Linked DNA regions of Caenorhabditis elegans. The protein of the gene in region 2 purifies or fractionates together with the protein of the main gene of each other region. This does not show direct contact. Each region holds a gene or a part of one and is shown on either strand. Other genes may lie near its edges. The genes, in order: txdc-12.1 and F47B8.8.

Region 1 (17,166 bases), on a different chromosome or scaffold from region 2:
TGCTAACAAAAGCTTTTGAATTTTCTGGAATAAACACAATTCGATTTTCAAAAAAATATGGAAATTTTTTTTTTCTAAAATTGGGAAAAAAAATTATTTTTTAGGGTCGAAAATGCCTGAAAAAATCAGAAAAAAATTACAAAAAGTGCAAATTGCCAAAGAAATTTTTCAGAATAAAGTTTAATTTTTTATTCAAAATTTCATTTTAAGCTACGTTCAAAAATGCCAAACAAAATTACAGAAAAAATAGGAAAGATCACAAATTGCCAAAAAACATTTTTTGAGCATTTTCCGGAAAAATTATGTTTTTCAAAAAAAAATTGGGCTTTCCAAAAATTGCAAAAAAAATCATTTTTTAGGTTTAAAATTAACCAAATTGCTGAAAAATGTTTTCAAAACAATTTAAAATTGATTATTTTTTGAAAAATGATTTTGCGGAAAAAACAGCATTCGATTTTTCAAAAAAAAAATTAAAATTTCCAAACAATTTTTTTGAAGCATTTTTTAGGTTCAAAAATGCCAGAAAAAATCAGAAAAAAAATTACAAAAAATTGCAAAAAATTTTTTTTTGAGCATTTCCCGGAAAAATAATTTTTTTTCCAAATTTCAGAAAAAAAAAACTCAAAAAAACTTATAAATAATTTTCAGTATTCCGTTGGACATGCTTCGAAATCGAAAAATATCGTGAAGATAGATCAGCATTCCTACCACAAGGATATCAAAAGCATACAAAAGTACCATGGGAATATGTTGGCGGAGTCCGTACACAACTGAAAGATGCAAAAGCTGGACGAGTTGACATGTGGCAGATCACATTCTTCTGGTTACCGGTTCTCAGTGATGAAACTGTGAAAGATGTTATTGGAGATGCTGAATGGAATCTTAATCTTGTTGCAAAGGTTTAACAAATTGCTGAAAAAAACTAGAAAAACAGTGAAAAAAAAATTATGTTTTAAAAAAATTTCCGAAAAATTCGAAAAAACATTTTTTTTGTTTTGGTATTTTCTGTATTTTTCTTTTGAATTTTGGACATTTTGCACTAAAAAATAAAAATTATAATTGCAAAAAATTCATCAAATTTTTTTCTTAGATTTTGTATTTTCTGAGAACAATTTTTTTACCTTTTCGTTTTTTGAAAAAAAAAATTTCCCGGAAAATTCTAAAAAAAAATATTTTTGGCAGTTTTTTTTCTTTTTTGTTTGAAATTTGCACATTTTCGAACCTAAAAAATACAATTTTAAATAAAATTGTATTTTTTATCTAATTTTTTGAAAAAAAAAACTTTTTTTCGAATTGTTTTTTTTTTTTGAAAAATCGAGTTGTTTTTTCTGCAAAATTATTTTTTTATTGACAATTTTTAATTTTTTTTTCTGAAATTTAGTCATTTTAAAAGCTAAAAAATTAATTCTTAAATTTAAAAATGCATTAAAGTTTTTATTTTCAAAAACTAATTTTTTTCAATTTTTGGGAAAAAAAATTAAAATAATTTTTTTAAAAACAATTTGTACTTTTTTCTTTATTTCGTCTAAAATTTTCACATTTTCAAACCTAAAAAATACAATTTTAAATAAAAATTTAACAAAATTTTTTTTCGGTAGATGTAACCTTTTATTTAATTTTTTTTTTTGATAAATCTAATTGAATTTGTATCCGCAAAGTTATGGCAATTTTTATTTAAAAAAAATTTTTTTCTGAGTTTTGGTCATAAATAATGCATTAAAAGTTGTATTTTCTTTTTTCAAAAACAAATTTTTTGTACTTTTTGTGAAGAATTAACATTAAAAAAATGATTTTTTACCGGAAAATTCTAAAAACCATTTTTTTGGCAATTTGTACACTTTCGTACCTATAAAATACAATTTTAAATTAAAAAAAACCTTTTGTTAAAATTTTTTGAAAATTTTTTTGTCGGAAAATGCTCTGAAACTTGTAAATTTTCGAGCCTAAAAAAATACAATTTTTATTAAAAAAAATTATTTTCCAAAATTAGTAATTCGGAAACATTGCAAACTAAAAAAAGTTCAATTTCTTCCAGATCTACGCAAATGAAGAAAAATGGCGTAGCGTTACACTCGAGACATTCTTCAAACAAGACGTCGACGAGATTTTCAGCCAAACAAATTCGATACTTCAAGCCCGCGACGCTTCGATCTACAAAGCCTTTTCACATTCCTCATTCGGTACTTTAAGCCCCGCAGCGAGTGCTGATTTAGCTCTAATGGAAAGTGCCGAAGCCATTGTTTCACCGTCGTCAGATGCTCCAAGTCGCTCCTCAAATGGGAAAAATGGAGGAAAATTTCGAAAAATGTCGAGCCTGATGGCCAGTGTGATGGGAAGACGAAAATCTGATTCTAAGTAGTTTTTTTTTTAGGTTTTTAGGTTTTTTTGTTTTGCTGTGATATATATTTTGCTTTAATAGTGTATTTGAAAAATTGATATTTTTTGTAAAAAAATTCCAAAAAATTGAGAAAAAAACATTTTCGGAATTTTTAATTTTTACAAAATTCTAAGAAATTTATACCGGAAAATGTTGAAAATCTAAAATCACTTTTTTTTGTTTTGAAATTTTATAAAAATTTTCAAAATTCAAATTTTCAAAAATCACTTTTTTTTTGAATAATTCGGAAAATTTGGAACAAAAAAAAACAAATTTTATGTTTTCATTTCGGCAAATTTTAAAAAATTCGAAAATTTTTTAATTTTGGTTATTTCGGGAAAATTACGATTAAAACATTTTTTGAAAAATATTTGAAAAAATTCAAATTTTACGATTTTTTGGATATTTCGGCAAGTTTTTTGAAAGATTCGAAATTTTTAATTTTGGGCATTTCGGAAAAATCACGATTAAATTTTTTTTTTTTTAGTATTTGAAAAAAAATCAAATTTTGCGATTTTTGGATATTTCTGAAAAAACTGAAAATTTTCGAAAAATGTTGAAATAAAAAGTAATGTTTTCTTATTTTCGGCCACATTTTGATATATTTTTTCCCCTAAAAATTCGAAAAACTCCCGATTATTCTGCATTTTCCTGTAAAATTTACGATTTTAGGAAATTTTGAAAATTGTCAAAAAAATTCCAAAAAAGTTACGTTTCAAGATTCGAAATATGTTACAAAAATTTTTTAAAATTGATTTTTCTTATTTTCACCCAAAAATTCGAAAAAATCCCAAAATTTGAGACAAAAACCCAATCAAATTGTGATTTTCTTGTTCATTTTCCGGAAAAATTTATTTTTTCAAAAAAAAAAAAAATTTGTTATTCCTAAAATCACTGTACCTCTTTTTCCTATTCCACCTCTATATTGTGATATATCAATCAATTTTCTTCAATACTAATACAAATTAATATTCCACATTTGTGTGTGTATGTGCAGTTCTAATTAACATATTATCAATTCATTTTTCCCATTTATTCCACTGCCCCTGCTTCACTTCTTCATACTACCCTCCTACCGTACACCGTTAGCCGACGTGTACAATTCACATTCTGCTTCCTTCTTCTTCTTCTTCTCGGAATCTCTAAGAAAAAAAGCGAAATAGTATGGGATAACCGGAGAGACGGCAGACAGAACCTGTTCTGTCTTCCAACTCATCGGTGAATTTGTGTGTGTTGGAGAAGGAAAGAAGGAAGGATTCCAATTGCCATTTCCGACTTTTCATTCCATTTCACATACACAGCTTCTTGTTATGTTTGGATTTTAGTTTTCGAGTAATTTACTAATAATTTATTGGGTTCTCATAACGTTTATTCAAATAGGAACATAATCAGATTGAATTTCAAAGAACGCAGTTACGTAGAAAAGCTATCTTCAATTTTAATAACTTATTGGGTTCTTATGTATTATAACCGAATAGAGTCATAATTACATATGTTTTCGAAATATGTAGATACACGGGTGGGTTATCTCCAATTTTAATGCCGTAATTGTATTAGGATTTATCAAAAAACGACAGCTAACACTATATTTGTTAAATCCTATTCACACTATATTATATTAGATTAATACTGATTAAGTTGTTCAAAAATGTGATGTTACGTATTTCGAATAAAAATCTAATTATATGTGGCCTAATATCGACAGCTAACTAGATACGGGTTATATATTTAGGTTATTCTCGTAATACCTTATCATGTATCTTAAAAGGGTAGTAGAGTTTGTGGGTATTTTGCTTAAATAGACTACAACTGGTCCAAAACCACCGAATTTCATAATGAGACTTCCCAAAAAATTTCCGAAAATGTTTTATGGTCCGCCAAAATTTCGAAAAAAAAAGAGTCAAATCTTGCTAAAATCTGAAATTTTGCACACTTTTCTTAGTCACAGCCGCTGGATTTTAGTCTTTCTGAAATTATCACCATTTAATCCTTATTTTGATAATTTATCCTGCGGAATTTTGTTGATTGAGACAACTTTTAGACCAATAGGCATCCAAAAATGATCAAAATTGGATGCCTATCGGCCTAAAAGTTGTCTCAATCAACGAATGAGATAAATTACCAAAACAAGGATTAAAAGGTGATAATTTCAGAAAAACCAAAGTTCAGTGGCTGTGACTAAGAAAAGTGTGCAAAATTTCAGATTTTATCAAAATTTGACTCTTTTTTTTTCGAAATTTTGACCGGCTATAAAAAATTTTTGGAAATTTTTTGTGAAGTCTCATTATGAAATTCGGTGGTTTTGGACCAGTTTTAGTCTATTTAAGCAAAATACTTACAAACTCTACTCCCCCTTTAATATATTTCACGACATACATACGTGAATAACTTCTTTAGTGTTGCTCTTTAATTATGTAGTATACTTAAATGCATTTTATTAAAAATCGTCAGTATTTAACAGTATTGAATTGTTCATACTAATAAAATCAGACAATGTTTGACGCAAATAAAATGAAGCAATACATGTTTTTTACTTTGTCAATTAGTTAGTTAGTTATGAACATTGTAACTATACAGTTTACAAGCAAACGGGTTAATTTTTCGTGAAAGTAATTATTTTCAATAACGTTATTAAAATTATATATTACTAACTTTTATATGGGAATCATCCTAACCAAGAAAACTGTTTAAAAAATTGTAAAAACCCTAATTATAATTCATAAAGTTATTAAAATATACATCGATCGAAATATAGTAACCACCACCATTTCTAGAATGCATTACCAAAAATTATGTGCAAAATAGTAATGTTTTATGAGACTTCCAACAAAAAAAAATTGAATCACCGAATCATGTTTTTGCTACAAAACATTGTAGTTGCTTTTTGAATTTTTCGTTCTGCTTCATATTTTTTTCCAGACATCATTGATATAACCCTTTTTATCTGCAAAAACTCATCAAAGCACCTTCTTTATGGTTTCTGATCACCCCTCCATAGATACACCGAGATCCTTATCATCGGTACGACCTCGACCGTTGGCTAGTTTTTTGCAGTTCGATAATGACCTCAATATCTTGATCTGTTTCTTCTTTTCTCCATCATTCGTCATACCTTTCACTTTTAGAGGTGGTTTTTTATACAGCTTTTCTAATACAAAGGATAGTGATATTAAAAAATTCTAGTTTTAGATTATTAACAACGGGATTGCATAGAAAAAGTTTCTTTTTCGACATTTTTTCGTAAAACGGGCATTAAATGAATAACACAACAATTATATAGTTCTGTTATAAAACAACAAGTAGTATGTTTTATAACAGAACTTTATAATCGTTGTGTTTTTATAACAGCAATGGCTTTTAAACGCTGGAAAAAAAAGGTCACAACAGTTCATTTTCAAGCTTAGTCTTAGTCTTAGTCTTAGGCTTAGGCTTAGCCTTAGCCTTAGTTTTAGGCCCGGGTTCAGGCTTAGCCTTAGGCTTAGGCTTTGGCTTAGTCTTAGGCTTAGTCTTAGGATTAGTCTTAGGCTTAGGCTTAGGCATAGGTGGGGCTGGGGGATTATTTTAATTTTTTTTTTTGAAAATTATCAGAAATTTTTTACATTCAATTAAACAAATTGTAGTGAATATTTTGAGTTGTGTAAAAATGATATTTTTCACAACAGTAATAATATTTAAATTATACATATAAACCACATTAATAACGTTTTTTTTAAGTATCTGATCACTTTTTTTTGCATGCTAAACTTATATTTTCTGTTTAGTATAAAACTCCATCCAATTCCCCGTTGTTCCAGATGAGATCCCTTCTCCTCTTGGCACTTGTGAGTGCGTCGGCGTACGCGAGTTTCGACAAGATCAAGGATTCTATTCAAAACCCATTGGCACGTGGATTTGGTGACGATATTGCGTGGGTCAAGTGGGAAGATGCAATTGAGACTGCTTTGGATACTGATAAGCCAATCTTCTTGTTGATCCACAAGTCTTGGTGCCATGCTTGCAAAGGTAAGAGCGGCAGTTGAGAAAATTTAGGCAATTTCTTATAATACGTGTGGTATCACACTGTCCCATCACGGTTTGATCTACAAAAAATGCGGGAATTTTTTGCTCTAAAAATGCGACGTCAGCAGGTTCTTAATCATGCGAAATCATTTGAGAACTCTGCGACTCTTCTCCCGCATTTTTTGTAGATCTAGGTAGATCAAGCCGAAGTGAGACACCCTGACACCGCGTGATTGATTACATGCTTCACTAATAATTTGAAATTTAATCATTTTATTCAACAAGTTAGTCCAATAGAGCGCACATTCACATGTCCCTTCCCCACTGCAGCTTCGATTTTCTCTCCGGGTAACCGACCAAAGACAAGAAAGGAGAGGGATTTATTCATCCTTGACACACTTTTTTTTATTAATTCAAAGAATGGTGTCAGAACACCTTGTAAACCACAAAGCTTGTACATATAGTTTTCAAGGGAAAAATCGGGAAATTCAATTGATATTTTTCGAAAATTGCAAAAAAAAACGTGCAAAATTTTGAATTAAGAAAAATGCACATTTGTACAAATTTTGGGAAATTCAAAAATTTTCACGTGATGGGACCCGTGTGTGGGCGAACCACAGTTTAAATTTGATGTAAAATAATATTTATAATTTTTATGACTCAACATTTGAAACTTTAAACATAATTGTATTCGTTTAAAAATTTGTGAAAAAATTGAAAATTGGTTTTAAAAAATTTGAAGTTTAAATATTTCAAGTCCAGAAAATCCAATGCGAGAAAAAACCTCAAAATTTTTTTAAAAATTCCAAAAATTATATAAAAAATTATTTTAAAGCTTTCAAAAATTCAATAAAAATTCCAAACAAATTCCACTAATCTGAAAAAAGGATAAAATCTATTGGGGTCCTAAGCCTAAGTTTGAGCCTAAGTCTAAGTGTAAGGCTACGACTAAGCCTAAGCCCAAGCTGTAGCTTACGTCTAAGCCTAATTTTTAAATGTTTCAATTTCGAATTTTCAAATTTTCCAGCTCTCAAGAAGACCTTCCAACAATCCAACGCCAAGAAAGCCTTCAAAAAGCTCTCAGAGCACTTTGTAATGGTTAACACCGAAGACGACGACGAGCCATTCGAGGAGGAGTACCGTCCAGACGGAAAGTACATTCCACGTCTGCTTTTCCTCGACAAAAATGGAGATCTTCTTCAAGAATTCAAAAATAAGAAGGCCGAATACAAAAATTACGCGTATTACTACTCATCACCAGCTGATATCCTTAACTCTATGAAGGATGTGCTTAAACATTTTGGAGTTGACATTCCAGAGGCTAAGAGAGGTGATAAGCTTAAGCCAAAGAAGCCAGAGGGAAAGAAGAAGGAATTGTAAGAATAGAGATTGTTTTATTGATTTATTGATTGATTTTCAGCTAATTTATTTCTTATCATTTCTTTGCCAATCTTGTTAACTATTATTAATTATTATCACGAATAAACTGGTTCTCGATACGTCGGTTTTTACGAAAAATTTAAATTCGCGCCAAAAACCTTTTCGAAACCTCGAAAAAATTTTAAAAATCTTATGAAAATTGCATTTTGTGCCTGAAAATTTTTAGCCAATTTTTTAGAAAAAAAAAAAGTTTTAGGAAAATCTGTGACATTTTGAAAAATTCAGGAAAGTTTGAAATTCCAGCCAAAAAACTTTTGAAAACTAATTTTTTGAAAAAACTAATTTTTTGAAATTTTTGAATTTTGCATTCATTTGAAATTGACTTAGGCATAGGCTTAGGTCTAGGCTTAGGCTTAGTCTCAGGCTTAGGCTCAGGCCTACGCTTAGACGTAGGCTTAGGCTTTGGTTTAGGCTCAGGCTTTTTTCGGTGATTTTAGAAAATCTGAAAAGCTTTTTGAAGTTTAAATCTGAACAAAATTTTTTTTGTTTGAAAAAATTTATAATTTCATGAATTTTTGAATTTTGCTCTCGATAATTGTTTAATTTAAAAAAATTCAAAAAAAATTTGAATTTTGCCACAAAATAGGAGATTTAAAATACACCGCCCACATATTGGTTCAAATCTAAATCAAGGCTTTCATGGGAGGCAGGCGCGGTTTCAGGGCCTGACGCCTGTCTGCCCGCCTGCCTTCCGCCGCGGCCGACACTTTTCGGGTTCCGCACTATACAGAAGGCCCGAGGCAGGTGAAGGTCGCCGCAAGGTAGGCACACCAGGCCTTTTGGCGCCTACATGGAAGGATTAATCAAAACCAGTTTCCTAAGGGATTAAGAAACTTTCTCTCCTTCCCTATATTTGAGTAGTTATGTAAACATCCTCATATTCAGAATATGTCACGTCTCTTCTCCAATGTTCCGAATTATTTTCCTCTTATACATCGTCGGGTCATTTCTCTACCAGCAATATGAATTCGCAGTTTGAATTTCGAAATTTAGTTCTAAATTCCCAATTTCTTTGGATTTTTCTAATAAATCTTATCACCTCTGCCAATTCTGAAGCCCTAGCTTCTCCTTATCAGTATCTGAAGGATCTTTGCCCTGTTGGACAGCTTCCACTAACGGATACGGAGCACGTGAAGACGTGTGCAAGCTTATGTCCTCTTGGAGCATTTTGTCATAGGGGTATATGTTGTGTACCGCCACCGCAGTGCAGGCATCCGGCTTATAGGTGAGGAAATTTTTTTTTGAATTTTGTGTTAAACTTCGCAGATTATATATTGTTTTTTGAAAACAAATAATTTTATTTTACCGCCAAATTGTTTTTAAATGTTTTCAAATATTTAAAATTGGCGCCAATTTTTTTTGAAGTTTTTGGAATATTTAAGTTTGGCGCCAAAATTGTTTTGCAATTTTTAAATAATTTAATTTGACGTCACAATGTTTTAAAATTTTTAAAATATTTAAATCTGGCGCCACTTTTTAAAATTTTTTTTAAATATTTAAAATTGGCGCCAAATTTGTTTTGCAAGTTTTTAAATATTTAAATTTGGCGCCAACTTTTTTTGTTGATATTTTTGAATTATTTAAAATTGGCGCAAAAATTGTTCTGAAATTTTTTTAATATTTAAAATTGGCGCTAAATTTTTTTTGCAATTTCTAAAAAATTAAATTTAGCACCATTTTTTGAAATTTCTTTTAATATTTAAATTGGGCGCCAATTATTTTTGTTGATATTTTTGAAATATCTAAATTTGGCGAAAATTGAAATTTTAAAATTTCTGTCAAAATTATCAAAAAAAAAAATTATATCAAAAAAATTAAAACTTGAAGCTTGCCCCAACTATTTTAAAGATTCAAAAACTGAAAGTCGCGCCAAAGTTGCTAAAAATCTGAAATTTTGAATTTCGCGCCAAAAATATTTGAACTCAAACTTCAGGATGTCTACCGGCTTTCCATGTCTTCCAAAACGTAAGAATAACTGCCCAGATGGATCATTTTGTGTATCAAGTAGTCAGGATGGAATGTCGATATGCTGCTCAAACAGGAGCATTGAAAAGTTGGTGATTTTAAGCTCCGCCCACTTCTTGGTTTTCTGGGAGAAGAAGACCATTCTAAAATAAAAACTATAACTACAAATAAAATAAATCCATATTTTTACAGAAGTTTCCCGATAACATCACAATTAAAACTCTCCAAATCTGCACCGTTCCCAAAGGAAAAGCCGATGCAAAAATCCACGTCATCACTGATGACGTCACTAGACTCCTCCCAAATCTGTCCGAAATCCCATCCAATTATTGCACATGATGGGAAATCTCTGGTTTTGTGCAAGGATTGTGTTCAGGGGTTAGTTTTGGACTGCGTTTTAAAAATTAAAAAATTTATTTTTAAACGAAAATGTTACCTAAACTCGAAATTTACAATTTTTGCACCAAAAAACTGGAGAAAAATTTTTAGTGCCCAAAAAAATTATTTTTGAACATTTCAAATTTTTTTAGATTTTTCAGAAAGTTCACATAATATTGAAGATTTTGATTTTGTAAATTTGAACAAAAGCATAAAACTGTTTGTATCACAAATTAAATTTTTTTAACATTTGAACATTTTGGGTCCCACCACGATAAGTTTCAGAACCGATATTTTCCTGGAAACTGTTATAGAAAAAAAGTAAAAATTCAGATTTATTTCGGGGTACCCCGAATTCAAACAAAATATCATAATATGAAAAAAATTTTTAAATCAAACGTTAAATAATATTTCGAATTTTTGGGTCCCACCACAAAAGCTTTTTTGCCGAAAATTTTGTGAAAAAAATTGGCAAAATTGTATGTATGATGCTTTAAATTTAACATTTCAACTAATTTAAAAAAATTAAATTCGAAAATTTTTTTTTCAAATTCTATATTTTCAGAGTTTGCGCAAAATTCCGCACCAGTAACGTAGAGGTATGCTGTCAAAGTTCTGACGATATTTGTGGTGTTGGAAGTCAAATTTTGATGAATGGATTGGTGCCGAGGGACTGTAACAAGAAGCCATGTGGGATGGGGTAAGTGAATTTTACAGCTCAAGCCATGCTCTTAAAATAGCCAGGAGCTAATTTTTTTTGCTCGAAACTTTCCGAAAAACATCTAAAACTTGGAATCAATTTTTTGATTTTTTGAAAATTAAAGTTGAAATTTCACAAAAATTTTTAAACATTTTCAGAACTTCTAAACTAAAATTGCACCGCAAATTTCAAATTTCCAGCTACGAATGTTCGCTAACCCCGACGGGTCTTCGTGTATGTTGTTCGTTAGCCCAATGCCCGTCAGGAGTGTTTGCGAGAAGTGTGTGCGCAGCCGGATGTTTGAGAAATGAAAAGTGCATGGAAATTCAGAATGAGATGTGGTGTTGTCCATCCGAGGAATCATTCGGTTCAAGAATTGAGATGGTTTGTAGGAATGGGGAGAATGGGTAAGTTACTACATTGTACTGTAGTACTGTATACTGTATAGTGTACTGTTGGGGTACTGTAGCTCAGTTTCCGTTTGTCAAAAATTATCAAAAAATTTAATTCAGTGTTTATCATCCAGAAAATAGCCTTAATATACCGAGTATAACTGTAGAAAAATTTATGGAATTTCTCTAAATTTTTCTAAATTTTTAACGATTTTTTTTCAATTTTGCAAAAATATTTGATTTATAACACTAAAAACTATTCAAATGCCAGAAAATGGAGCCGTAATGACCAAATATATCTGGAAAATTTTTAAATAAATTTTCTAATTTTTTAAAATGATTTTTCGTCAATTTTTAAAAAATCTAAGAAACGGCCGAATTAAATTTGAATTCCCGCGCAAACCATATATTTCGGCCGTTTTTTAAATTGTTGAATAATTGAAAAATCATTTTAACAAATTCGAAATTTTTTTATTAGGTGCTTCTATTGAATTTTTCTACAGTTACATTCGGTATATTGAAACTATTTTATGTCATTTAGAGCAAAAAAAACTTCCAAAAATTTTATTTCCTCGAGTTTTTTTAAAATTTCAAATGTACTTGATTGTCTAGATTACTGTAGAAATGCTTATGACTCAATTACAAAAAAATCCCAGTATTGATTCTTATTCCAGAACCGGTGAAAAATGTGACCCAGCTTTTCCGGCGTGCTCACAAGGAGCATTTTGTGAGCTGAACAAGGAGAAGACCGCCCATATTTGCTGTAAGCGGTATAAAAATCGACGTGAGTATTTTATTGCTTAAACCTATAAAAACTAAAATTCAAGAAAAAAAAAAATTTCAGTCGGCAACAGCCGTAAAACCCTTCTACCCCCTCCATTCTACTACACTACAACTACTATGAAGGCTCCCATAACCATAGCCACAACTACTGCAGAACCATACCCTTTTGAATCTGTGTAGGTTGCTTAATTAAAGGCAAAGTAGCGCCAGAGGGGAAAGTGTTTAAAACTACTCCATTGGTGTCAAAATGATCGAATATCATTTTAAAAAATTTCAAAAAATTTTTGAAATTTTTTTATTTATTATCAAAAAGTGACAATTACTCAGTTTTTGCCACTCATAATTTTGGAAGTCAACCAAAAAAAAATTTTTTTCTACATTTTTTATACTGTAATTTTTTTTTAATTATTTGTATTAAAAAATTGTAGGGGTTGGAACATGCGAAATTGCTTTGGATTTCCTCAAAGGCTCATATTTTTCAAAATGTTTGCAATTTTCCAAAACTGACCGGGAATAATGAAAAATCTAAAAATTTTTGGACTGTTTGTTAATGATATTTGGTCATTTGAAATAATTTTAAGTGTATTTAGACACAATCCCCACTGGCGTTACTTTACTTTTAAACCATCAAAGGTATCTTAATCATATCTTAATATTTATTACAGTCCAAACTGCCAAGACCCTGAAGCCCGTCCACTCATGGAAAACGGCTTCCCATACATTTGTGATCATATCGGAGATCCGTGTATTCTTCGATCAGGATATTCGTGTCAAGAATCTGATATTGATGATGTCTATGTGTGTTGTACTATTCAAATGAACCGAATCCTTCCACCACAGATTCCAATGATTGGGCCATTTACGTTTATGACGTCATCAACTACTACAACTACTGAGAAGCCGATTGAAGAGGAAGAAGTGATTGCGCAGCCGACATGCCCATTTTCATATATGCCGTCGAAAAATGTTAATCAAGATGTGCAGCGTTGTCTATCACTGTTTACGTTGGAGTGAGTTCCAGAAAAATAAAAAATAAAAAATTTTTTTCGATTGTTTTTTGAAACTCTAAAAATCAGTATTATCTTATTATCTTTATCCAATTTTTTAAAATTTTTTTTTAAATCGGAATTAAAAAAATTCTAACATACATATATTGTTGAAAACGTTTAACGTTCAAAAATCGATATTTTAAAATAATTCCAGCTGCCCACTCGGCTACACGTGTCTACCATCTTCCACTACCGACAGTTATCTATGTTGTATTCGGAAGCCTGTGGTCTATTAGGCTTAATTATTGATTTTTGTTTTTTTTTTCGAATATTTGTGCCAATTCTATATTTTTTAAATATTTTTTTAGCTAATGAACATGTTTTCAAACAGTTTAATTTAAAAACAGCCTAATACAAAAACTTGGAAAACTAAGCCTAAGCCTAAGCCTAACCCTAAGCCTAAGCCTACACCTAAGACTACACCTAAGCCTAAGCCTAAGCCTATGCCCAAGTCTAAGACTAAGCCTAAGCCTAAGCCTAGGCCTAGGATAATGAGAGCATTTTCAGACTGCTCTATAAAGCCAAACAAAGATTTTGCAATAATTCATAACGCATTCGATTCACAATAACAAGTTCTTTAATAAAACTATAAAAATGTAAAAAGTTAGGAGTCAAATTTTTATTTATTTAACACTGAAAAATTGGAGTGTGTAGATAATGAGAGCATTTTCAGACTATGTTTTTTCAGAGCTGACGCCAAGCTTATGCCTAAGCCCAAGCCTACGCCTAAGCAAAAGCCATAATTCTGAAAATCTAAATTCAAATGTTAGCATCCAAGTCTGGGCTCAACGGTCCAAGCCTGAAAGCTTAAAAACCTAAAGCCTGAATATTTTTGCAAACATAAGTAAACTGAATTGAAGTTTTATCTGTGATGTACAGTTTTAATTGACAAGAAACATTGCAATCGGGATTAGTTTTTTTGAAAAACTGGATAATAAAAATGAGGGAAAATTAGTTGAAAACACAAGAAAATAATGACAGATTATGAAAAATTGGCAACGAATATAATAAGTTTGGTAAAATTATACGACTGGGGAGGAAGAAGCCGACGATTCTTCGGATGAAGAGGAGCTTGATGGTGACGTGGATGATTGTTTTGTAGTCTGGAAAGTATTAGTTTAGGTGGTTTGGTCAGGTTTAGAAATTTTTTTTTAAATTTAATTTGGTGCGAAATTTTATTTTTATTTTTCAGGCCAAATTTACGGCGCAAAATCGGTGTAGATTTTTTATTTTGAAATTTTTTTAAATTGCAATTTAACTTAATATGTAGGTATTTTAAGTACAAAAATAATCGAAAATTATTTTATTATTTTAAAAATTGAGTTCGTTTTCAGAAAATTAAAAAGTTCTCAGCAAAATTTTAAAATAACAACAAAAACTAACCTTGGAGAAATTTTCCGCTTCCTTTTGCAAATCCGCAAAAATATTGAGCACATTGGCGAAGAGCACCTTGTTCTTCGAAGCCTCCCGCATCTTTTGCTCCACAACATCCTGCTCCAACTCCTGAGCAGCGAGACGACGAAGCTTCTGGAGCAACAAGTTGACTGGGTACTGGTACTCATACCGTCCATCATACTGGCTCTTGACAATTTGCTCGGTACGGCATTCCCGGAATACTCGAATCGGGCAGTCGAGGAAGAGAAGACACTCCAGTGCATAGTACCGGTTGTGCTCTTTGAGCAAGTAGTCAGTGTATTTTCTGACTTGTTGAGCAGGGCTCAGTGGAGCTGGGACTCTTGGGAGAGCAGCATTGGAGACCGGCTTGGTGTGAGATGGCATTTAGAATGAGTTAAATAAAAGGTGAGAGAAGAACTGAGATATGTGGTTAAGAATGACACTAACCTAGACCTAACCCTGTAGGACGCTGCAATTTGGCAACAACAAAAAATCGATATATGGGCGGGGGGGAATGGGCTATGCAACGTGGCAATGGGAAAGCAGAAGGAAACAATGGTTATTGATTGGTTTACGATTGTGAATATATAAATTTGGTACATACGTACATTTTTGTTTGAGAAATAAGGGAGGGTTCTCCCTGAGGAACATGGAAAAAAGTTGTCAAAATTTAGGGGATTTCAGATTTTAGTTTTTAAAAATATTGGAATTTTCAGAAATTTTAATTGGATACTTTAATTCTAACGGAATGTTTAAAGAAGGAGTATTTAGAAAATTTGGAATTTGCATAAATTATTAGGTTGGTCAAAATGTCTTTGCAACTTTTTGAATTTTTTTTGGAGAGAGTATTTATTCAAAGCGAACGAGATTCAATGGGTAATATATTCACCATTAGTGTATATGACTTCTTGCCAACCCAACGAAGGTTGAGCAATACCCTCCGCACAGAACTCCTGAGATTAGGAGGCAAAGAAGTCGTCCCACCACGTTTCGACGATCTTTCAATCATGAAACTTCTGCCCGGTAAGGTGATTCTGGAGAGAGCGGAACAAATGGTAGTCAGTAGGAGTCAAGTCCGGCGAATGCGGTGGGTGAGACAAAACTTGGATTCCGAGTGTCTGGAGCTTCTGGCGGGTCCTCAAAGTTGTATGCGGTCTTGCGTTGTCATAGAGCAGCCTAAATTTTGATTCTCTAGGGTGATGTAATCGATGAGCACGGACCATCTTTTCCAATTGAATAGAGTATAGGCCAGCGTTGATTGTAACGGAGTCTGGAAAAAGTCCTCGGAAAATTACACCCTTACTGTCCCACCAAATTTAGAGAAGCACTTTTTCTCTTGAAGTTCCCCTTTGAGGTCAGGTTTCACGGTTTCCTCGACCGGGACCCACTGTTTCTTTCTGGTATAGTTAACATGCAATACCCATTTCTCATCTCCAGTAGTGATATCCTATACCCAGTCTGTTGTTCGTTTCCTAGTGAGCAGCGAAAAAGAGAGGTCACAAAACAATTTTTCTGAGAATCGGACAAATTGTGAGGAACGAGATGACCGAACTTTTCTACCCTTCCGGTTTCGCGGAGATGGTTGATGATGGTTCTTTGGAGATGCTTGAGAGTCGCAGAAAGTTCACGGTTCGTTGCTCTTGGATCATCTTCCAGGGCTCTCGAATTATCCTTATTGATAGCCAAACGAGACCGACCGGATCTTGGTTCATCATCGAGATCGTAGTTCTTTTTCGTGAACTTTTCGAACCAAAACTTTATGGTATTATAGGTGACAGAATTATTGCCTAACACTGCACACATGTTACCACGAGCTTCGTTGCAATTGCAGCCTTGGGGGAACCCATACAGAAAACCCCTCGGAGGGTGTGACCTTCGGCGAGCAAATTCTCGGTCATTTTGAACAACACCCAAAAGTTTTTTCAAATGTATTAAACATGCACATTACGTACTATGCAAATAAAAAAACAGAATAGGAAAATAACGAGTTAACGCTGAGAAATGAAGAAACATACGAATTTTGCAAAGACTTTTTGACCAACCTAATATTACATTTTACTTTTTTTTGTACTTTTTCAAAATTTCTGCAATTATGGGTTTTCAGGTATTTTTTTTGGAATCTTCCGAAATTGTTTCAGCATTTTAAAGAAGTTTTTTGGAACTTTCAGAAATTTTATACATTTTCTGATTTTTCTAAAGGCTTTTCGAATTTGGTTCTTTGGGAATTGTCCGTTTTTGTAGCTTTTGGTGTTTTCTGAAAATTTTTATTTTTATGGGTTTTTACACGTGGTGTCGGTTTGATCTATGTAGATCTACAAAATGCGCGGGAGTTGAGACGCAGAGTTTTCAATCTGATTTCGCATGGTTAAGAACGTGCTGACGTCACATTTTTCTGGGTAAAAAAATCCCGCATTTTTCGTAGATCAAACCGTAATGGGACAGCCTCACTCCACCTTTTTTCAGAGAATTTATATTATTTCAAATGTGTTTTTGGAACTTTTCGGATTTTAAAAATCCCGAAAAAAAGTTACATTTTATTTTTTTTCTTTGATAGCAATTGTATTTATTTCTGAAGAAAAACTGCGCATACATAGGAAAAATAAGAAATTTTCAGCGAATTTCAAATTTTTATATTTATCAGAAATTATCACATTCTTCTACATTTTTTTTTGGAATTTTTAGAAATTG
Region 2 (16,446 bases):
TTTACGATATAAAATATCAGGAGGAAAATCATTTCTAGAAACACATTAGAACAAAAGTCAAATTTTTTAACCCTACTTTGATTGTTATTAGTACTCAGTATTCTGCTTATAGTTAGGCAAAGACGTAGGCTTAGGCTTAGAGTTAGACTATTTCTTAGTCTTGTGCTTAGGCGTAGGTTTAGGCTAGGGCTTGTCAGTGGTACCCGGACGCCGTTAGTTGAACTTGGTTTGAATTCTTAAATAGGAAGTTGCATTCTTCAAGTATTTAGTTTACAATAAAACTGTTTTTTTTTTTGCAGATCAAAAACTTCTTTGATTGGATATAAGTTGTGGAAAAATCACGTAATTCCTTGCATTCAGGAACGTGTGACCTAAAGAATGCAAACGTTTCGAGTACGATCTTATATCACTGATATCTTATCAACGAGTTTGGCAAGTTAAAATATTTGTTGAAGAACACCCCTGAGAAAGGATTGATGACAAGAAAGGAAAACGTGTTGCAGTGAATCAATTTGAAAAATGTTTATTCCCAGATGGAAAACTGTTCCATCAAACAATAAAACAGAATACAATATAGCAATAAATAAACCCATCAGAATTCACGTTTACATATCAGGCTTCATAGCCGAACGGTCGGCTACATTAATCACAGTCGTTTCAACTTCTTTTGAACATCCGCAGAATTTCTGTCTAACTTCTGTCTTGAAGACGAATATGCTGACTGTGTTGATAACGGGACCCCAAACAAAAAGAATTGATAGAAGATATGTGGCAAGTTTCTGAGAAAGTCCAGCCAATGGACCAAGTACCGAATAGAAGAATGGAAGTTGAATGAAGATGAGTGTCAATATGAACTAAAAATTAAAATTTTTAAACTTAAAAATCTATTCGTAATACCTGCATAGTCAAAATCTGATTTGCTTGCTTCTGCATTTTCTTCAAATTTTCACTCATGTTAAGATTTGAGTTCATTTTAGAGTTGATTTTAAAGTAGAAAAATATCATAGCCACCACGGCTACTAGCAGTATCGAGACGTACGTGATACTGGAAACGTATGCTGATATCGAAGTAGCTGTTTTCTAAAATCATAAGTTGTTTTTGAATTGAAAAAAAATACTTTTAAACTTACATCAACTGAAAGAACAAGGAACGAAGTTTCATGTCCAACATAGGACACAGCAATTCCGCTCAGATTGATGACGTCATCAATTACTGGATATGAAGAATAACAAAGAACTCCCGAACTGAGGGAGAGGAAAAACAGATTGATGATAATAATTATTACTGCATGCGAAGGATGAACTCCTCTTCTTTAAATTGAAACTATCAATTTCCATATTAAAATAAAATAAAATAACTCACCGACAAATTTGCAGGTATCTGATGAAATAAATAGTGGGTGATGAGAAAATCTGCTGTGTTAGGAGAACAATCGAAAACATCAAAAGAGTCATGGTCAGAACAGCTGGCATTGAAACTCCAGCGTTTACAATCATTAAACCTTCAAAACCATCGGAAGTTTCAACAGCGACGAATATCTGAAATTAAATGTTGTTATGATTCCTTTTGAAAAAGTTTTACGAATATACGGATTATTCAAGACTAAAACCTTCATGGTTAATTCAGTTGAGAAATTTTAAAAAAAGATCATGCTGTCATTTAAGTAAGTACTGGCTTAGGTAGGAGTCAGGAAGGAAATTTTGTAACTCTGTCAATGCCTGCTATTTTCCAGTCTCTGTCGCAAATCAACAGCTAACACAAGATGATATCTACCGTAACCCTACACTATTTTACAGGGCTCAAACATATATCCGAACACGCATTTCTTCTAACTTTTGGGGTAGTATTAAATGAATGGCAATCGTGATTTCTTACGCTCCACTCCAAACGGATGAATTATAATTAGGGCGTTACTAGGCATCCAAATCTAGTTTTTTTTTTGTTGAATTTTTTTTTTGAAATTGAGAATATAGATTAAAAATTTAACATAGCAGTCTTTGAAATGCACTGAGCAACACAATTGTCAAAAATTAATCCTCACCGGACATGCCAGAACAAAAAGAACGCTGAATGCAACATCCAGTAATTTGTAGATTCCAATAGCATATTTCATATGCTTCAGAATAGTTTTTCCTTTAAGCAAAATGAATGTTGAGATCGAGATCAATGGAATCAGAATTAAACAGGCTGCGACATTGTTCCACCATGCATAAATTGCGGTAGTTGTTGCAACTTCTGGAGAGGCGCCGTTCAGGATTTGAATAGCCATTGATAATCGATAATTAGAATGAAATGGGCTCACAGATCACTAACTTAAGCTCATTTGGATTGAGATTGAGCACAGACTCCAGATGCTTACATGACTAATGAGCACGGGGAAGATCTCACAAGGGAATCGCGAGAGACAAGAGGAGTAGAGAATTGAAAGATAATTTGAATAAGGAGAAAGCGATAACAGCTCTTTCAGTGACGCTCTTGTTGTGTAGTCTACGGAGTGAGATAGAAGCTTGTGACAAGAGGCAATAGGTACTAATTATAGAACCAGGGATACTGAGTAACGCACCAATTCAGTTGGGATTCCGAGATATTTTTATTTTGCTTCGATTCAGTTTTGATTACCACCAACTGATCGTCGAGCATCAGATGTTGTGGACGTACGTTGTTTTCCGATGAGAGCACTTCGGATTTCAGAGTTTAGAATGAAAATGAGAAATGTGTTGAAAACAGGTGACCAGGCAAAGAGGAGAGGGAAAAGGTCTGTTACAAGGCCTTGCGACAGTCCAACAATTGGGCCAAGGACTGAATAGTAGAATGGAACTTGAATAAATATTAATGGGGAGAAAAACTGAAAATAAGAATTATATATTTCATGTTTTTCGGAGGCGTTATTGAGGGCGACCGGCGGGCGAGCGTAAATGGCGGCACCGTGAAATGCATTATTGAAATTTTCTATTGTTTTAAATTTGGGAAACATTTTTAAAATCTAAATCGTTTCCCTCTATGAAGTCCTTTTTGGCTAACTGTTTTACTAACCTGCGCCAAAAGCAGCCTATTTAATTTCCTCTGCAACTCTAGCAAATTGCTGCTCGTATTTGTAGATTCTCGAATTTTGAGGTTCATTTTAATAGTGAAAAATATCATGAGAAAAATTGAAAATACTAGACTTGATACATAACTAACTGCTGAAATAATCGATAGAACTTTGTCGACAGAGTCCGCAACAGAGTCCACTTCTTTCTGAAATAAATATTATCTATTATTTTATACTTTTTCCGTTTATTCACTTTATAAGACAAAAGAAGAAATGCGGAATATGATAAAGTAAACTTATTTGCAATCTCTTGTAGTAATTGTATGTCCTCACTAGTCGGAAGAGCTGCGTAGCATAGGTTCATTGAAGTTAGAATTTGTAGAATAATATTCAAAACAACTATAATTGATACGTCAATACATCCGGCGCCCTTTCTGAAAAAATATTTTCTAATATTTGAAGCACAAAAATTGAGGAAAACCTGCAAACTTGTGCATATCTAATATAATAATGCCATGGCGCTAGAAATATTTGCTCAGTGAGTAAAAATAGAGCTGCTGAAAGAAATATTTGACTGAAATGAAAATTGAATTGCCATCCAGTGTTGACAATCATTAGACCAGAAAATGTATCGTTCATTACAATTGATGTGAATACCTAAAAAATTTTCAGAAAAAAAAAACAAATGAAAACTGAACGGCTTAAAAATATACCTACCGGAGCTGTCAGAATATAACTCGCGCTAAACAAAATCTCCGTGCACTTTGAAATTGCTTGAACTTTCTTGAATAATCTCGTGGGCGTTGAAATTCTAGTTGTGACTAGAAAAATGAGCAAACTACCAATTGTGATACTTAAAATTCCAGCAATAAGATCGTTGTAAAAATGATATCTCTGGATAACTGGTGCAAGCTCAGACGGTGGCCCCAGCTGCATTGATGTTCTATTCCCAGGTAGAGCTGGAAATAAAAATGTAAAAGCTCCTTATTTAAAGTTTCATTTATTTCAATAAAAAAAATCTTACGCGGTGGAGGAAACAAGAACTTTTCAAAATTCATAGTTCAATAATGTGAGTCTGCAAACGAATAATTGGCGCGAGTTTCCAATATTGATACAAATAATAATACTCGATACTTAATCCAGCACCTGACAATTAAATTATCAAGGGAAACATACTCCATTGACTCATGCCACTAGCAAATGTGTTACATCTATACTGACTGGGTGATGATATTAACCGGGTTGTATAGTTGATCTCACTATCAGTCACAAATAAAATGCTACTTACAACACAACATAAATTGGAATTATTCTTCAACTATGTAGACTATGTTAAAATTATATTTTAAAAATTTAATTTAGTTCAACGCCAATTTGTGAGCACTTCAGAATGTAACATGTTTGCTTCATTATTAGAAAAAACCTACCGAAAAATTGTCGATGTCTTGAGCAAAAGATTTAATTGTAAGACAAAACATATTCACAAATAAATCGATTTATTAAAAATATCCAGAAATGTGGTAAGAAACCAACAAACAAATAAACCCAATGTTAAGAGACAAAAACACAGACGCAAATGATACAGAAAAAAAAGATTTTTTGATTTAGAATCAGCTTTTATTTGCAAATGACCGAACTTCAGAAGTTGATACATGTTGTTTTCCGATCAATGCATTTCGAATTTCCGAATTTAGAATGAATATAAAAAGGGTGTTTACAACAGGTGACCAGGCAAAAAGGAGAGGGAGAAGGTCTGTAACAAGGCCTTGGGAAAGTCCAACTATCGGACCAAGGACTGAATAGTAGAATGGAGCTTGAATGAATATTAATGGACAGAAGAACTGAAAATGTTGAAATTAAAGAATATAGAGTAAAATCTAAAGGATTACCTGTGCCAATAAAACTCGATTCATCTTCTTCTGCAGTACCAATAAATTGTTACTTGAGTTTTTTGATTCTCGAACTTTTAAATTGATTTTTATCGTGCACAAAATCATGACCAAAATTGACAAGATTAAAGTTAATACGTAAGCAACCGCAGACATTATTGATCCGACGTGTTCAATCTGTTCCCTGACAGTATCCACTTCTTTCTGAAAAAAAAAACCCGTTTTATTATTCTTCAAAGTTTTTCAACCGTATATGATAAAAGAAGAAATGCAGAGTTTGAACCAGTAAACTTATTGGCAACAAATTGAAGCTCGGTTATGTCCTTACTAGTTGGGAAAGACGAAAAGCAAAGGCTCACTGATGTGAGAACTTGAAAAATTAAATTGATAATTAGCATTTTTAAGAAATCGATACATCTAACACCATGTTTTCTGGAAAATAACTTCAATCTTGTAAATTGAGTTAGAACATCTAAAACATACTTGCAAACTTGATCATATCTAATGTAGTAAAGCCAAGGGGCTAGAAAAATTTGTTGAGTTAGAAAAACAAGTGCCGCGGCAAGAACAATTTGACTATAATAGAAATTGAATTGCCACCCAGTATTAACAATCATAAGACCAGTAAATGAATCATCGACCGAAATTGATGTGAATACCTGAAATTACAATACATTATTTTGATTAAATGCCACCCATCACCGTTACTCATCAGAAGTTGACTTACCGGAGCTGTCAAAATATAACTTGCGCTAAACAACATCTCGACAAGTTTTGTAACTGTCATCACTTTTTTGAATAGTTTTGAAGCAGTTGATATCCGTGTAGTAAATACTAATATCACAAGAACATTGAGCATAATGCTTAATACACCGGCAACCAGATCATTGTAAAAGTGATAACTACGGATAATCGGACCAAGTTCCGCAGGTGGACCAATGTCATCCGAAGATTCACTTTCCGGGGGAGCTGTAGAAGTCATTGGGTGTTATGGATTATTGGTATGACAGATGTTAAATGCTATTCTATTTGATATAAATTCTGCTTATTACGTGTAAATTCTATTATGTTTATATACATACCATTATAAAATTAAGTGCAAAATCACAAGAGCAGACAAATAATCAGCAAGTTGAATGTTTTAAAGTTTAGTGTTTCGAACTTTAATTTAAAACAAAAAACTTACCCGAAATGAGGAACTGATAAAAATTTATTGCTGAAAAATGGCTCGAAAACAAATAATAATAATAATCAGATGTTATTACGCATTTGAAAATATTATTCGGAACATGGAAAATCGGAGGTCTGAAAATTCAGTTACCTCGAGCTTTGACTCAATTAGATCTGAATCACACGAGGTTGGCTGTCTTTGAAATTGTTACGCCTACACTGCGTGGTGGAACAAGTTAAATAGATTCTCAAAAATGTGTGCTATTAAAATGGAAAAAGAAACAAAATAAGTCACATGCTGATCAAAATGAACCACGCAAATTTGGTTTCATTTTTCTCAATCTTATTAAATTATGCCTGCAAATTATTTGATGATTTATAGTATATTCTAACCTAGATTATTCACCTCTATGAAAAGAGAAGTAGTCCGTATAACTATGGCCCACCTTGAATAGACTTCCGGATTTTGCAGATATCGAATAATCTGGTGTTTGCTTTGTTTGGTGCTATAATTGTTTTTCCTATTTTTCTTGTGATATAACTGAAATAAAATCGGAATTCCAATACTTGGAAAATCTTTATGGCAAAATAGAAATTGGGGTAGAAAAAATTAGAAATATTAATCTATTCACATAAAAAAAGATGTTTCAAGAAAAATTAGAAACATTAATGCATAGATTTTCAATAGTAATTTCCTCATCCGTTATGAAGTTCTTCTTGACGCGACCTTCAAAGTCTTCCTGTCCATCGCTATTCTGAAAAATATACAAAAATAGGATTATGTTTGTTTGATGCGGAAATTGATTTTTTTTTAATGTGCTGAAGATATCGAAATCCTTACCAAGTTAGTTTCTACCTGTGATCCTTCACCACCTATCACAGTCAGCCAGGTCTTGATAGCAACACCTTCATAACATGGTGCAACTTTATGTGCATTTCCATCTTTCATATTTGCCGTAATTGAGTTCTCATCAACCGCAAAGAGGCCAGTAGTTTGCCCTGCAATAATTATGGGTCCAGTAAATTCTAATTCAATGTAGAATCCATTTTGTGTATTGTCTGGGGTTAGCGGTGTGTCCAGTGAAAGTGTAAGAATCTCAGATTCCAGATCATGGTTATAGTCGTCACATAACACACTTGCATCTGAAACTTGGGAAGTTGTATTGTTTTGTAATGTCTTGAAATTCAAAATTTGAGTCCATAATTTTTTCAGCACAATTACTATTGAGAAAAAAACCAAAAAAAAAACCGTTTCAAAATTTAAATTAACTTACAAATGGGACATTCCAGGTATACAGCGTAAAAATTGATCAGCCTAATAGAAGTCCATTGAAAATCCCTTGATGCTTGAATTTTGATTTCCGAAGTTTCTGCAGTGAATTCATAGTCGACTCTCACTTTTCCGCAGTAAGTCTTGTTTGCCATATTTGGATCGAGTTGGAGCATGTATCTAGTCGGCCGATATGTGGTGAGAAGTTCCGACATATTTCAATAGAATCAGAGAATAAATGACAGAAATGAGACGGCCTCGACAGTTTGATACGAGTGAAAACTGGTTTGTAGGAGGAACACGTGCACCCGTAAGAGATAGAGAAAAATGAAAAAACATCGATTGAATTTGTAAATATTTTCTCCTCGGAAAATCAGAAAAAAAATAAACAAAACATTTCAATGCCATTGTTTTGAATTTATAAACTTATCTTGACTAGCAAATCGGAGAGTTGCTAGGCTTCGCAGTTTAGTTCGGCGTAGAGTAACTCAAGAATAATTCGCTTTATTCGCTAAAGTTTAGTCAAGTGTTGAGTAAATGCCAAGTAAATGTGCTGAAGTTTGTCAAGACCGGCCAAATTTAGTTTAATATTAATTTTAGAAATAAAAATTTTTTCAAATTTTTTTGCTTAAAATAGGCTTAACAGTTGTCCAACGCATCTGCGTCTATTTGGGCTTGCGACACTCGAACTGAATTATTATGCTAAGAATAGGCTTGACGGATCTCCAACACTTCTTCGTGTATTCGGGCCTGTGGCTCTCAACTCGAGTTTTTGGGCTCAGTATAGGCTTAACGGCTGTCCAATACGTTTTGTGTATTCGGGCCTCTGGCCCTCAATCCGGTTAACTGACCTAGGTGACCTTTTTCATTACTTTTCCAAAAACATACGTAGTTATAGAAACATACCTCTCAGAGAAGGCCTCCAGCCTGCTCTGCTGGGTGTAGGGATAGAAAAGGCCTAAAGTTTCAAAGAGTAAGAAGGTGGCCCTAATCCCTGATTTTTGGGTTTGAGTGAAATACAATAGCATTGCAGGCCTCCAGCCTGTCCTGCTGGAAGTCAGGTTAAAAGTAGCCAACATGTTCAAAAAGTGCGGCCCTCAATTAGATTAGGGAAAAAGTAAAAATCTCGAAAAGTCTTCAAAATTGAGTTTTCCTCACGTTATTAAAAATAAGAAATGAAAATTATCGAATTCATCACCAAAAATAGAGAAAGAGAGAGAGTGGTAGAAAAGTTTTTCACGTTTAATCAATCTTTTTGATTTTGCAAAAATTGAATGATGGCCTACATTTTGGAAAGTGCGCCAATTTTTTTCAAAATAGTTTCAAAAAATTGGAAATACGAAGTTCTCTCTTGCGCACAAATTGGAACCAAATGTCAGAAAAACTGAAGATTTGGGGCTGAAAAAACATGAAATTCGTCAGTACAAAGAATACATCCATTTCGACCATACTCCAGAATTCCGCTCAAATCAGTGTTTTAGCCTTCCCAAAAGCTCCCCCACAATGATGACGATGGAAGGCGCTATTTTTATAAGCTATTGAAACAAATTGCTCAAGAAACCGCCAACCCTAAGCCAAGATATAAGCTCTCAAAGTGCAGTCACATTTCTCGGGACACCCCATTACGACAACGTGCCCTTATTTTTTATTTCTGTCAAGAATGCAATTTCAGGATTTAATATAGGAAGAGGCAGAAAAAATATTTTTATGAAGTTCACCCACATAGGACGATTAACTCGAGACCCCTAACAAATCAGAAAAAAACGCCAAGTCCAAAAATTTTCGGAAACTAGCAACTTCTTGATACGTACCCCCCAAGCACACGTGAACATTTAGTAAATTTGTCATACTTATGAAACATCCAGGGAACACATACATATATGAATAAAAAAACTTATTCATTGATTCGGTAAATTAATTGTTCAAAAAAAATTGGAAACACTATTCCATATCGATAATTGGTGTGACATAAATGTAAACATCTTCAATAGTAAGTTCTTCTTCTTTTAAAAAGTTATTCTTCACTCTTCCTTCGAATTCTTCGTGCCCAGCGTCATCCTGAAACATTTATCAAAATCAAAACTCTGCTTTTCCAAAAGCATACCATATTAGTTTCAACTCTAGTTCTTTCATCAGTTATCACAGTCAGCCAGAACTTTGCAGAAACTCCTCCCTCATAACATGGAAATACTTTATGAGCATTCCCATCTTTCATATTTGCTTCAATAGTACTTTCATCAATTGCATAAAGTCCAGTAGTTTCTCCCTGAGGATTTATAGGTCCAGTCCATTCTAATTCAATGTAGAATCCATTTTCAGTAGTTTCAGGAGTGAGGGGGTTTCCCAATGGAAGAGTCAGTATCTCTGATTCGGCATCATGGACATAGTTTTCACAATCAACACTTGCATCTGAAATTTGGAAAAATATTTAAACAAAAGTCCACATTTTTGAAAAATTCGGCAATTTACCAAAAAGGTTGACTGCCTTAAAAACATTTTTTATTTGGACGTTGATTGCTCAACATTAATCAAAATTTTACTGATTCAAATCTTTTAAATAGACTTAAGTTTAAAAACTTACACACAGGACATCCTTCATTGAAATCGTAAAACGTGGCAAGTCTGACAGAAGTCCACTGAAAATCTCTAGATGTTTGAATTTTGATCTCCGATGTTTCTCCTGTGAACTCGTAATCGATTTTTACTCTACCATTGTATGAGTTATTTCCCAGATTGGGATCAAGTTGGAGAAGAATTTTAATTGGCCTGTACGTAGTAAGAAGTTCTGACATTTTTAGTTGTAAGGTCAAACTGAAATGAGAATAGATGGAAATGAGAAGGCGTTTACGATTGAAAATGTGTGTGAGAAATACTTGTTGGTGGTAATGCAACAAAATAAGAGAAATGGAAAAAGATTGCAGGCAGTTTTGGTTTTTGGTTGTTGGTAAATCAAAAACAATACCAAAAACAACAATAATAACTGAATACTTTGGACATTCGAATTTTTGACAATGCAAACATCGCGAAAACTCAATTTTTGAAAACAGCTTTCTTTTAATTTTTTCAATTCAGTTTAGATAACTTTCTCTCGAAAAAAAGCGTATGTAGCCTGAAAAGGAAAGCAAACGACATATCGCATACACTTTGTAAGGATTTAATGGACGTCATCAATGTTGTTAATTGAGAAAAAATTATCTTTTACAAAGATCAGAGAAATCTAATACGTCAATTATCTTTTTCTATATGTTCAAACTAAATAGAAATACGGAAGAGTGGTGGGCGCATGGGCACATCGTTGAAAAAAAGTTTTATGTAGTCTACCAAGATTACGACAAGTCCTTACCCAAGGCTGTAATTTTGCAGATCGGCTTATTGCCAAACTTTTGAAAGGATTGACCGAAATGTTTTTTGTAATACATCAAAAATCGAATAATTTTTAAAAATGGATTCGACGCTTCCTTACAAGATGTACTCTCCACATAAAGTTTTTCTCACTTACCAAATGTAGGGTGAAATACCACTCTAATTTTTTTGAGTTTCTGACAAGAAATCATTCAGTTCTTAAACAATGACGACTTGAGAGACGGTTCTCATACACAGTAACCTTCCCTACGCCTTCATGAATATAATCGCGAAAAACTGCCAAAACAATCGCGAGGCTGCTAATAAAATATCCTTTAAAATTTAAAAAAAAATTGAAGATCAAAAAAATAAATTTGTTTTTCATTAAGAAAGTAGACAAGAGAGACAAGGAAACTGAATAAAATTTACCCTGAAATTGTTGAAGAAAATGCTTTCAGCGTATTTTCCATTATATTCAGTCCCGTAGAATTGCATTTCTTGATCGATAAGGATAAAAAATTCCAGGTTATAAAAATCTTCCAAAACCGGATGTCAATTTCTGTTTAAAATTTTGTAAAAGTCCCAAAAAAGGCGTGAAAATGGCACACACATAATCCGAACTTTTGATATTCCTTGTTGATCTCTTTCGTTCACCTGAACTTCTCAATCTAATGTTGAATCAATATTGAATGTGTTTTCCCCTATAATCTCCACCCCTTTTTCCGTTCTCCATACAATAGCTTATATGTAGGAATTGGCAACGGAATTCTTATCCACACATCTTTTTCCCAAATGTCGCAGTTTCTCATGAAAACGACGAAAAATAAAGTTCAACGATGTGTTAAAATTCTGCTCTTATTCACATTATTTCTAGCTTGTTACAAAGTTTTTATTGCTTATCTGGTAAGATTCTTTCAAAACTTTTGAGCCTTCCAACAAAGTTTTTATTTTTTTAAATATCAATTAAACGGTTCAACATTGAAACTTTATAGAAATTTTCAGGAAGATGTTCGAGAAGAAGCCGCAGACGAAGAAGACCTTCAAACAGTTTTTATGGACGCGAATAAGAAGGAAATTTTTAAGAAATGGCTGGACTGTGCAAAGTGGAGCCTCTTGGTTATTGATGATCCTGTTCAGGTATGTGGCTATAGTCTATAGTAAAAGGCTATAGTGAAAGTTTTTTTAAAGTAACAAAAAATCTGTAATGATATCTATGAAACTGTTTCAAAAATACAGTAAGTTTTAAAAATGTTCCAAATTAAAGTTGAAAAATAACTAAAAATAATTTTCAGCTAGAAAATCAATTTTTTTACATTTTTTAACTTTTAGTTTAATATGAAACATTTTGAAATACTTTCTGAAATGTTTCAGTGAACTTACTAAAACAATTTTCAGTAGTCATTTTTAAATTCACTTTCCAAATAATTATTTTCAGTTCTGGACTCAATTTACAAAGTTAACCAAAAAATGCGACGAAGACGCTGAAATCGACAAGCTTGGCCTCATCACTCTGAAAAACAAGGATGAGGATAAAGTTGCAATTTTGCCGAAAAATGTGAGTTTTATTTTTTTGAAAAACCGTATGATCACAACACGTGGAATCAGGTTATGCTAAGGTGCATAGAAAACAGATCAGATAACATTGAAACAGTGAGATGTTATCTCTAAGGCTTGCCTCATTTTTCGTGGAACATAAAACTTATAACAGAAGGAAAAAAGCAACGGCTGATTTAAGCGGGAAATGGAAATTATTTATAGGAATCGAAAATTTTGAAAAGGTGAATGAGAAGTTATGAAATTGGAGAAGCTTTATTTATTTAAATGAATTCGCCATCTTTTAAAAATGTATAGAAAAAAAATACACTGTAGTTTAAAGTTGAAAAAAAAAAGATTTTTTGGTTACATTGAATTTCCTGTAAGATGGGAATTGATGAATTTCAAAGGAAATAAAAAGTCAAAAAGAGAAATTGAAAAAATATACAAAAATTTCCAAAATAAATCAGTTCAGTAAAGTACTTTTTGAGCGTGTCAAGACAAAACAATAACACTAATTTCAGTTCCAGAATGATGAAAGACACACATTTGTAACCATCGGAATTGGAAAAGACATCACTGGAGAGCAAAGATGGCAAAGGGTGTGTTTTTATTTGAAAAAAAAAAACTGACAAATATTTTGGAAAATTGAGCCAAAATTGCAGAAAATGGGAAAACTCGGAAAAACCGTCGAATTCTACGGTGCCGACCCAATGACTGAAGTGAATGAACATTTATACCCACAAATAGGAAAATATTTTCCATTTGCAGTTGCTAAAAATCCAGGATATGCCACGGCCAGTGTTTTGATAAATAGAAAGTTTTGAAATACAATTTGAGATGATTATTCAAATTTTCAGGGCAATATTTTAATCAAAGTGTTATTCATGTAGACATGATGTATTTTGTGGAAAGGCTTTTAAAATTGAAGGTATGGTTTTAAACTTTTCTAAGTTTCAAAAACTATTATTTCAGACAATTGACAATTTGTGGATGGACTCCGAAGGTGCCGAATACGATCTTTTTGAAATTTTCGAGAAAGACGGAAGTTTTGACAGAAATGGAATAGAACTCTGTCAAGTTAATTTAGAAGTTCATCTATCAGAAACGGGTCCTAATAATTTACACTACGAACGATTTATGCATTTCGTGAAGACACTGATAAAGGAAGAACGATTTGCAATCTTTCGAACCGAAGAAGTGATACATATGAGAATGTATATGTTTAATTTTGACAGTGATTTTTGTCGGCGTAAATATTAGGAATTTCAAATAAATAGTTTAAAAAAATCCTGCAATTCGTGAAGATCTTTAAGTTAATATTGTTTTCACAATTTTCAAAAAAAAAACTTCAATTTTCAGTGTCTTTGCAAAAATAAAATTAACAAAGCCTGCAATAATTTTTGAAGCGATTTGTTTGTTTTCCTTGTTTAGCTTCTTCAATTTTATTACATTTTCAACTTCTCACTTTCATTTTCACAACAAAATCAAGTTCTTATTGGAAGGCGAAACAGTATATAAACAGAAAATCATCGAGAACGGCATCATTTCACCTTCTAATTCCTCATCAAGTGAGTTGGGATTTCCAGATTATTTAACTAAATATTAATTTCCAGGTATGAATCTCCTTCTGATCTTCGCTGTTTCTACTTTAATCTTTTCTGCTCACTGTCAGTATTCAAGTGGCGGAGGAGGTGGTGGTTACTCAGGTGGTGGAGGTGGTGGAGGAGAAGCTGCACCACCATCTTCACCACCTGCCGATGCAGCCCCTGCTCCACCACCAGCTCCGGAACCAGTTCCAGCTCCAGCTCCAGCTCCAGAAGCCGCACCTGTTGCACCATCAGCTGACGCTGGAGGATATGCCGCTGCGGCTGCACCCGCCGGTGGCGGATCTTATCCAGCCAAGAAGAGAAGAGTAGCTCGTGATTATGCTGAAGGAGAAGCTGCTCCAGCTGCTCCAGCAGAACCCGCCCCAGCTCCAGCTCCAGCTCCAGCACCAGCACCCGAAGCGGCTCCAGCACCAGAACCAGCGCCAGCTCCAGCACCAGCACCAGCACCAGAAGCCGCTCCGGCTGCGGCACCAGATGCCGCTCCAGCAGAACCAGCTCCAGTACCTGAGGTTGCTCCTGCCCCCGCACCTGCTCCAGCAGCCCCAGAATCAGATGCCAGTGGTTACTCCTCTGGTGCTGCTGCTCCAGCTGGAGGTGGTGGATCTTATCCAGCCAAGAAAATGATGCGCTTCTCCCGTCTCGTTTTTTGAAAACTTTTTATTCTACATTTTCGATCTTGCTTTTACCAACTGGTTCATTTTCATTTACGGTTCAAATGACATCAACTTTTAATAAAATGTTTCTATCATTTCGCATGTGCTGTTTACTTTTTGCTGCTCGACCAGGTGATACTCTTATCAGTTGAATACTTGAATACTGCACACTGACTGTTTTGTGTTCCATTTCAACACATTTGTTGTTTACTTCAAAACTACTAAACTGAAATGGGAAATTATCTTGAAAGCTCTTCAGAAGAATTCAATGAAGCTGCTTGGCATTCAAGTGAGGAAGATTTCAGTGTCAAACTTACAGTTTTAAGGTATATAGGAAACATATTGCGTTCACCAGAAAGCACATTTTCAGAGATGCAATGATTCAATTACGAGTTCAGTTTCTACATTTTCAAAGTATTTTCTATCATCAGAATAAAGCCAAAATTGAGCACGAAAAGAAGTCACTCAATGTTATAATTATAGTCGTTCAAAACCAAATTGACGATATAAAGCTGATAGTTGGAGAATATTTCAAAATCAAGAACCTCCAGATGTTGAAGACAATTATTGATAGCTTTGAGTATACATTGAATAAAATAGCATTCGAAATAAGCAAAGCAAAAGTAATGTTTTTTTATTTTTTTAGAAATTTAAGAATAGAATTTCAGGGCCAAAATTTTTTCATCGAGAAGGTAGAGAAACTAATCAACAATCTCAATCCATTCGACGTGCCAATTTACGAAAATATTCAAGGCGTCGTATTAGAACTGAATACTCAAGTTTCATCAATGGGAAATATTCCTGAAAAACTAGAAATTAAAACGCAAAGGGAGACTTTTCAACTCGAAGTGAGTTTAAATCTCTTACAGTTTGCTACAAAATTATGTTACAGGAAGAAAATGAGATCAGAATGGATAATTGTAGAATGATGAGTGGTCAAGCTAAAATTTACAAAATCTTCCGAAAATCGGTTGTTCTTTTCGTGAATTATCTTGAGGATGAGCAAACTTTATCTACAATACAATCACTCAATGATAATCAAATTGAATACACTATATTTGATGTTTCCACAGATTCTGAAATTCGATTTATTTCAAAAGCATTATCAGATTGTGAAACCTTCCCTCAGCTGTTCGTTGATGGAGCTTTTGAGCCATTGCCAATTCTGAAAAATCTTCTTCCGAAGCTTCCCAAGGTCTACACAATGAATTGAGCATCACACAATTTCTAAGCTATATGTATATGTATTGTTTATTTTTTATTATCAATTTAAAATAAATTTTTTCAAAAATAATGATATTTAAAAACTATTCATTCATATGATTTGCTATCGAATTTCATCGATTTTAGTTTTTCGTTAATTCTGCAAGATTTTCCGAAAGGACGTACGTAAAAATGTAGTTAGAACGTTTTTATTTGTGCTTTATTAAAGCAACTCTACTCTTAAAAAAAACTATTCTTAAGTTTCAAAAATAATTGTCAAATAATGACTCGCGAGATATCAGCTGCTTGAACTTTTTCCAGAGTTTGGATATGAGATTTCCTCAATAGGAATCATGTAGACAAACTTGTGGAACATTTTGGCGTTTGAAAGATTTTTTTTGAAAAAATCCTCCATTTTTGAGCTGTGCTTAAAAAGCCATTGAAACAGTAATTTTATATCTCATTTTTCTTAAAATTCTCTTTCTGACTTTTTGGTCATATCTGAGAACAGAGAACCCTGGTATCCCTCTCACATGGCATCTCTAGCCTCTCTGCCATCCTCCTGTTCCTCACCGATGCACCATATAAATCGAAGAGAAACAGAGAAAAAGCCTTGACTATGAAACACTGCGTCTCCGTTCTCTTACACTATTTATATGTTTGCTTTTTTCTCGAACTAGTTATTCTTCGCCAACCAATTTTAATTTTTTCTTTCTTTTGCTTCGTCCTTCTAGGAAACGATGA

What was found.
Region 1: the proteins of F47B8.8 (region 2) and txdc-12.1 fractionate together in Caenorhabditis elegans (co-fractionation; one large-scale study listed by BioGRID). This does not show direct contact.

The regions. Positions count from the first base shown.
Region 1 is NC_003280.10:12,234,217-12,251,382, forward strand, and holds txdc-12.1 (Thioredoxin domain-containing protein), read left to right. Parts: upstream 1-6,171; coding exon 6,172-6,379; intron 6,380-7,403; coding exon 7,404-7,756; 3' UTR 7,757-7,869; downstream 7,870-17,166. Other genes in the region: sinh-1 (Stress-activated map kinase-interacting protein 1 homolog), read left to right, coding at 649-899, 2,036-2,359; Y57A10A.24 (EB domain-containing protein), read left to right, coding at 8,779-9,041, 9,750-9,869, 9,974-10,159, 10,725-10,859, 11,060-11,266, 11,926-12,035, 12,096-12,210, 12,700-13,044 and 1 more; tag-276 (uncharacterized protein), read right to left, coding at 14,106-14,186, 14,467-14,862.
Region 2 is NC_003283.11:14,322,873-14,339,318, reverse strand, and holds F47B8.8 (Aminopeptidase N-like N-terminal domain-containing protein), read right to left. Parts: upstream 7,646-16,446; 5' UTR 7,577-7,645; coding exon 7,366-7,576; intron 7,235-7,365; coding exon 6,933-7,234; intron 6,847-6,932; coding exon 6,739-6,846; 3' UTR 6,652-6,738; downstream 1-6,651. Other genes in the region: srm-6 (Serpentine Receptor, class M), read right to left, coding at 606-854, 898-1,080, 1,131-1,311, 1,364-1,539, 2,043-2,270; srm-5 (Serpentine Receptor, class M), read right to left, coding at 2,607-2,846, 3,035-3,238, 3,286-3,466, 3,514-3,689, 3,750-3,991, 4,057-4,090; srm-4 (Serpentine Receptor, class M), read right to left, coding at 4,643-4,873, 4,922-5,125, 5,170-5,353, 5,405-5,580, 5,649-5,903; pepm-1 (Aminopeptidase N-like N-terminal domain-containing protein), read right to left, coding at 9,303-9,419, 9,466-9,770, 9,943-10,153; F47B8.5 (Methyltransferase FkbM domain-containing protein), read left to right, coding at 11,496-11,606, 11,706-11,840, 12,139-12,258, 12,761-12,838, 12,902-13,052, 13,097-13,167, 13,212-13,499; F47B8.18 (Skin secretory protein xP2-like), read left to right, coding at 13,855-14,496; F47B8.4 (Glutaredoxin domain-containing protein), read left to right, coding at 14,731-14,825, 14,870-15,122, 15,168-15,347, 15,392-15,712; F47B8.3 (Glutaredoxin domain-containing protein), read left to right, coding at 16,443-16,446.